Linked DNA regions of Sus scrofa. The main gene of each other region encodes a partner of the protein of the gene in region 2 in a complex. Links are inferred from orthologs where the notes say so. Each region holds a gene or a part of one and is shown on either strand. Other genes may lie near its edges.

The links.
Region 1: the proteins of XIRP2 (region 2) and NEBL are in contact, whole or in part, in a crystal structure (PDB 4F14), measured with the Homo sapiens proteins. The link is inferred for Sus scrofa from reciprocal best matches to the Homo sapiens genes XIRP2 and NEBL. Residues at the interface, in NP_689594.4 of Homo sapiens: Pro2420, Pro2421, Pro2422, Thr2423, Leu2424, Pro2425, Lys2426, Pro2427; in NP_006384.1 of Homo sapiens: Tyr963, Asp964, Tyr965, Asp969, Asp971, Glu972, Ile987, Asp988, Asp989, Gly990, Trp991, Met1004, Pro1006, Asn1008, Tyr1009.

Annotation. Positions count from the first base shown.
Region 1 is NC_010452.4:53,912,988-53,916,812, reverse strand, and holds part of NEBL (nebulette), read right to left. Parts: intron 2,861-3,825; coding exon 2,768-2,860; intron 991-2,767; coding exon 898-990; intron 1-897. UniProt on the Homo sapiens protein: Binds to actin and plays an important role in the assembly of the Z-disk. May functionally link sarcomeric actin to the desmin intermediate filaments in the heart muscle sarcomeres.
Region 2 is NC_010457.5:73,724,709-73,728,533, reverse strand, and holds part of XIRP2 (xin actin-binding repeat-containing protein 2), read right to left. Parts: coding exon 1-3,825.

The DNA.
Region 1 (3,825 bases), on a different chromosome or scaffold from region 2:
TTAAATGGTGGAAAATCAAACTTTATTCTTCCTGTTTTTTTTTTTTTTTTTTTTTTTTTGCTGCATCCATGGTATGTGGAAGTTCCCAGGCCAGGGATCAAACCCGTGCCACAGCAGTAACCCCAACCACTGAAGTGACAATGCCAGATTCTTAACCCGCTGTGCCACCTGGGAACTCCCTTTTTGATCTTTGTTAAACTAGACCAACAAATATAAATACATTACAAATATTTTCTTGTTTTTTATAGACATGGAATAGAAGGAGTTTACATTCAACAAACATGTAATTGAGGACGAGCAAACCAATTTCGCAACAAGGAGTCTGTGAACGAAACAAATGGGAATGTTCAAGACACAGCAATAAATTAAAAAATGGTGAAATCATAAGTTGAAATCATAGCAGAGGTGGTAAAGCAGGAAGGTACCAATTCCTCGGCCTCGTATTTGAGGCCTTCCCCAGGAGGGCCCCTGCGTACAGTTTCTGCTCTAGGTCCTACATGCTTCTCTAGTTTTCCGATAGACAAGTTTCTCTGTTTTTTTTTTTTTCTCTCTCAGATCTACAACAGACCCACCACACTATGTCTCCAGGTCTTCAAATCCGGGTGCAGTTTTAGAGATTTACCAGCTAAATTATGAGGCCCACGAGGACCGGAGTGGGTCTTGCCCATCTGTGTGTCCCACTGACCAGGACAGTGCCTGCATGTGCTTACTGAGGATGTCATGAATAAACAAGGTTCCTGGGCTCCCCTGGGAGGGCCCCAGCTCATGCCCTTCACCATGTGACTGCTGAACATCGGCGTCCGAGATGAAGAGGGTCTGAAGCTTTTCCAAAGGCATCGTAAAGAATGAAAACATACACTGTTTGATAAAATACAAGAGAAAGCAGAAACAACTTGCCGCGCTCAGCTGCTCCTGGTTTCTCCTCACCCGCTCCATCTCTGGCGTGCTGCTCACTGGGGTTGCTCTGTGGCATCGCTCTTGGTACTGTAGCTGGGAGACAAGGCCAAGACAATGCAGGGTTACACCAAGGAAGGGGGGGGGCTGGTACTCCGGAACTGATGCAAAGGCATGGCACGTGGGAACGGGGCATTCGTGAGTTAAAATCTTCGTTAGGAGTGTTTACAGTGAAATACGATTTGCTAATAGACTCATCATCACCGTGATCCCGGATCTAAGCCTTTTCTTACTCAAAGGCTTTGAATTCTACCTCGGGGTGTTATTCATCAAATTGTGTTATTTATTGGTGGCCTCTCGGAGTTGGATCTTATCAGTAATGAGAAATGATCCTTTCTGTGAGTTCATTTCCTCATAGCACTAAAGCATCATTATTAAATGACTGTCTTATATTTAAGAATAAAGATTCTGCACTCTTCTCATTAGAGAGGAGGATTATGCCAGTCCTGTGCCCGCACCTCAGTGAGTGGTTGTCAAGCTCTGAACCTCAAAGTTTCCTTCTCTACAAAGTTCCAACACTGGAAGCCCAGGCTCTGACCAGCATCAGGGAGGTATTTCCGACCTACTGCATAGAGTCTTTCTTAGCTGGGGGGATCAGGCCAGCATTTGTGGTCAGGCTTCCCAGCAATTCTATAGCCCCTCGGGGAATAAATGAGGATCTAACACAGAGAGATAGAAGGACATGTCCACCCAATGAATTTTTGACAGGCAAAAGAAAACTAGAGGTTAAAATCCCATTATAAGGCACGCCACAGGAACAGTCTAAATGATTTTTTTAGAGTTTAAATTTAGTGTTAGGGAATTTTTTTTTTTTTTTTTTTGCAAGACATTACAAGGCCTACAGGGCCTGCAGATAAAATGGACTTGCAATATATACCCTCAGCAGTGAATGTGCAAGTGAAGTTTGATGAGCCTGAAAAATAAATGACAAAGGTCAGGCCCCTGCCAGAGTGGCTTCTTTCTCTGTGCCGACGTAAGCAGTTTGAGAGTTTAGGGAGAGTCTGTGCCGGATAAGTGCCTAAAGTGAGGAAAGGTCCAGTGTAATGTCTATGGATGGCAGCGTACAAAGGAAGATTACTCTGGGTAAAGCTCCGAGGGGAAAATTTTGTTGAACAGTGGCACTCCCAATAGCCTCCTCATGGCCTGAATTATCATTTCTCTCTTGTCTTCTTTCACCCAAGTGCTCATCACACTAAACCTCCCCCTCTTTGAGTTGATCTTGTATCCTAAACACATTCGGTTGGCACTGCCAGGAAGGCCCCTCCTCATGAAATCCCCCCTGTCCAAACTTTGAGTCATTCCTCAAGAGCTAACTCAAATGTTACTCTTTCTCCAAAGGTTTTCCCGTCTCTCACTGACATAGCCTTCCTTCTCTGCATTTCCCCAGCACGCTGAAAAGGGAATTATTACTTAACATTCAATGAGCCACTGCATGGGAAGAACTCAGAAGATATCATATACACTCGGTCAATGTTAGTTACTGTTACAGCACTTAACGCAGAATCTTTATTCCTACAGCTGTTTCTCCTAGAGACCTGGAGAACACTCACAGCCCCTACCTTGAAGGTCTGGCTCTCTCACCTTTGAATTGCCCCAAGGACAAGAAGAGAGGTCTTACCATGTTCAATGCCCTATTCTTTAATAAGCCAGGGCACACATTCTGGTGTGATGGTAGCCTGATGGAGAGATGTGTGAGATCTTATCTCCACCTTTCCGAACCCGGCCCTCCTGCCCCGGAATTCACTGTGATGGGACTTCACCCGCACAAGTGCCATGCCCACAGAAAACAATACTTAAAGAAATATGATCACACATTGCTGAGGTTCTTCTGGTTTTCTTTAACTCTCCTTAGCTCTGGTGGATCACAAATGGCTGTTGCAGGCTTCATCTCTTCTTTGTATTTCACCTGCGTAATTTATTTTTTAGAAAATGTGAGTCAGTCGACACTTAAAAAGACTTAAAAAGAGTTAAGAATTCTTCATTTGTAACGACTGCATAGCTGAAGTTTTCAATTCCAATATTAATTTTCTTTCCATGGGAACACATATTTCTATTTCACCGGGTGCTTTCGGATTCTTGTATCCTAAAGTACAAACAAACCCATATCTATTCACCATCCTTCACTGAAGAGGCTTTTTTCATTAAAATGTGTATAGATTGCTTGTGAAAATCAATTTTTATCACTAAGCAGATGCACCCAAAACTTTGGAAATCATCTTAATAATGGATTATTTTGATATGAACGGCAGTTTCTATTTATTAATATGGTCATTAAAATTCACCATGTATTTCAAGGCAAAAGTCAAAGTGAGTTAGCTACAACGTCTTGGGAAGATGGCTTACCTGACTGAGAGTACGCAAATAATCCAGAACAAGAAAAAAATAAGAGAGACAGGAAGATGGAGGGAAGGCAGAGGCCACTGAGTGCTGGTCATGACAGAAGGGCCAGTGGCAGAAAGTCAGGTAGCATGTTCTACCCACGCAACCAAGCAAGGCCCGCCTGTGTCCTGGCATTCACTCCAGTCCAAAGCTCTTCCTCAAGTCTACTTAGAGGAAGACCAACTAGATAAATGGCAGTGCCAGCACATGGTTATGCCAGGGACAAGAAACTGCTCTTTAAACTTATGAAATGATTAATGATGCCAACCTAACATGGGGTATTTTAATATGTCTGACGTGTATGGACGATTGGATTTGAGAAAAAGGACACACACATATGTATGGAAACACAGGCTAGACTTAAGAGGTATATGTTGAAATGTGGCAAAGACGTAGAGCTACACAAACAGGTTTGAGAAATCACTTGGTAATGTTTAAAAAGATAAGGTTAAAATCCATGCCAACAATCATAAAAAAAAAATCCCTAAATAT
Region 2 (3,825 bases):
GCTCTGTCATAAAAACCTTAACTGTATTATGCACATCTCCTGGGATGATGTCAGTTTCATTAACAGTACGTTCAACCTGAGATTGCCTTTTCTTTAATAATAGTTTTGTGCCTTCTACATCACCACCAATGATTTCTTCCTCTTTTTCTTGTTTCCCAGCTGTTAGTGTTTCATTTGATCCTGTCTGGAGTTGTCTGAGATAATCCAAAGCTCCTGTTTCTATGCATGTTGTAAAAAACTGAACATTCCCCCTCTCAGAGGCATCAATTTTAGCCCTTTCATATATCTTATTGTTTGATATGGAAGATAGCAAGTTATGAATGGTACGTTTTACATCACCCCCTATTACTTCTTCACGCTCAGTTGTGTCACCAGCATTTTCATGAAGGAGGCAATAGATAGTCATGTTAATATCTCCTCTTTCATCTTCCTGAATTAAAATGCCTTTCTTTACAGAACTTTTCTGGGAGAACAGATTTTTTATTGCTTGTTGTACATCACCACTCACTATCTCTTCTTTTTCGGCATGAAACTCTGTTGATCTGTTTAATAATTGAGTTTTGGTCAAATTAACATTTCCCTTCTCTTCCTCACTAACCAAAATCTCTCTTTTTGTACAGTCTCTTTTGGAAAGTAGGTTCACCATTATATTTTTGATATCAACTCTGATAATTTCTTCTTTCTGTACCTCAGGAGATGCTTGATTCATGAGCTTATATTTTGCCATTCGAACGTCCCCAACCTCGTCCGCTTCAATGATGATGCCAGGAGCCTCAATAACTTTTTGCGAGTAAAGTTCTTCTAAGGTTTCTTTAATGCTCTTGCCAATAATTTCCACCTTTTCTACCCTGTTTTCAGTAAATTCATGAAGGGGTGTAGTTTCAAAGAGCCACGTAGTTGTCTTAACATCAGAAGGAGGGATTTCTTCCTTGGTGATTTTTGTGATGCTTTCATCTGCTTCTTTAATGGAATCCAAGGTTTGATTTTCAAAAAGCCATACTGCCTGCTTCACATCACCTTTCTGCATATCTTCCTGGGTGACAGTTTTGATATTTTCATATTCTGATCCTTCTCCTCTCAGCTCATCTAGAGTATGGGTCTCAAATAGCCAAGTAGATGTTTTAACATTGCCCTTTTGTATTTCATTGACGCTTACTGTTCTTATATACGTATTTTTATCCACATTTTCAGACTCAAAAAACTTTTTACTTGTCTTTACATCCCCACCTTGAATAGAGTCCACGGTGGGCGCAATAGCATGTGATTCTTCTGAAATCTGATCCAGTGGCTGGGTTTCAAATCTGTATCTAACAGAACTAACGTCTCCCTTCTGAATGTCTTCCTGTGTGACAGATTTAATAATATACACAGTCTCTGATTCATTAATTGAGTCTAATGGCTTTGTTTCAAAAAGCCACCTTGTCCCTCGTACATCTCCATGAATTACCTCTTCCTTTTTAACTGTTGTCACTTCATGATAAAACCCTTCTCTATCTTGAATTGCATAAAGTGGCTGGGTTTCAAAGAGCATTCTGTAGCTTTTTACATCACCCTTCATTACTTCCTCAGTAATTGTTTTCTTGGTGCTAATGTAGTCAGATTCTTCTTTAATCTCATCCAAAGAAAAAGTCTCAAAAATAAAGCACCCCTTTCTTACATCTCCACCTTGTATGTCTGTCACTGTCTTAACTAATTCAGCCCCTTCTTGGCTTTCTTTTATCATATCAATTGGTTGGTTTTCAAAAAGCCACCTACAATTTAAAACATTGCCTTTTTGAATATCTTCAGTCTTCAGGGTTTTGATCTTTTTCAAAACTTCTTCTGAACTGGAACTTATAGAATCTAAGGACTGATTTTCAAATTTATGCCGTATGCTGGAGACATCCCCAGCTTGGATATCTATTTCCACGGCCTTGATTGCCTTTCCTTCTTCTCCTTGTATGCTGTCCAAGTTTTCTGTCTCAAAAAGAAAACATGCTGTACGTACATCTCCACCATGGATTTCCTCTTGTTTTACAGTTTGCAATTTGACTGTTGCTTCAGAGTCATCTTTTATGGTATCAAGTGGCTGTGTTTCAAAGAGCCAAGTACAGGCTTTGACATCTCCCTTATGAATTTCTTCATTGCCAGTCATTAACGAAACTTTTTCATAAAGAGACTCCATTGGCTGGGTTTCAAAAAGCCATCTACAGGTTTTGACATCCCCTTTAACAATATCTGTAGCTTGTTCAGTTTTACTTTCTACTTCTTCCATATTACTAAAATATTTAATTGAATCAAGAGGTTGGGTTTCAAACAGCCATTTAGCAGATTTCACATTCCCAGCCTGTATTTCTTGAGCAGAGATTCCTCTAATAATCTGATATTTATGAATGCTTTCATCAAACTGGTCAATGGGCCTTGTTTCAAAAAGCCACCTACAGCTTCTTACATCACCTCTTAGGATTTCTTCTTGCTGCACTGTCTTTACTTGATGATATTTTCCAAGGTGATCTTGAATGGCATATAATGGTGTGGTTTCAAAGAGTGATTTATTTAACTCTACAGCACCTCTTGTGATGCCTTCCACCTCTATTTTATGTGATGCATCGAATTTCATTAAGTTGTTTGATTCAAAGATATGTGTGTAATTCCTTACATCTCCTCTGTCAACTTCTTCTAGTTTCACTGTTTTTACATACTCTTTTTTGTCTTCTCTAATCTCTTCCAGAGGTTGGGTTTCAAAAATCCATTTTTGGTGCTTAACATCCCCCTTTTCTTTTTCAGAAGCAGTAATTTTTTCAAGTTTTCCTACATCAGGGCTGTCTTTTAAAGCCTCTATTGGAAGTGTTTCAAATAGATGCTTAGTAGTTTGTACATCACCCCCTATTATCTCTTCAGATCTTATAGGGTCTGTGTTAGGAACTTCTTTTAGAATATCTAATGGTTGTGTTTCAAACATCCAACACTTTCTAGAGACATCAGTACCTATTATTGTTTCCTTTTCAGTGATGACCTCTTCTGACTCTTCTTTGATTTTCTCCAAAGGTTGAGTTTCAAATAACCACTTTGCCCTACTCACCCCACCTTTGATATTTTCTTCCATGGATATTCCTCTGATGACTTTAATTTCTGTTATGTTCTTGTTAATTGTGTCTAAGGGTTGTGTTTCAAACATCCAACGTGCTGTTCTTACATCCCCCTTTTCAATATCTTCTCTGTGAACAGTTTTAATTTCTAGCATTTGACCTGAGCCATCTCTAATAACATATAATGGTTGAGTTTCAAAACATTTTATACTTCTCTTAACATTTCCCTTAATTTCTTTGAGCTCAGACCTGAGTTGCAGTAGGTGTCCCTCGTCTACTGAGTGGAGCTGTCCAAGTTGATCCAGATGTTGAGTTTCAAACATGTATCTCACAGTCTTGACATCCCCCCCCGTTATGTCCTTTATGGCAGTTACTACTGATTCTTCTTGAGTTTGATGCATTTTGTTCATTGAGTCTAATGGCTTTGTTTCAAACATCCACCGAGCTGTGCGGACATCTCCTCTGGCTAGTTCCGGAATTTTCTCAGCATTTTCTTCAGTGCCAGAAGAATGATCCCCCAGAGTATCAATGGGTTGAGTTTCAAACATCCATGTGGTATATTTCACATCACCACCAGCAATGATTTCTTGATCGGCAATGCCTTTGGAGATGTTATCTTCATCTGGCGAGCCATTGTTAATAGAGTCTAGAGGCTGATTCTCAAATATCCATCTCATGGACTGCACCTCCCCCTTCAGAATTTCATCCCATTCCAAGTGTTCTCTTCCAGAGTTCAGATCTTTTTGAGAACTGTCAT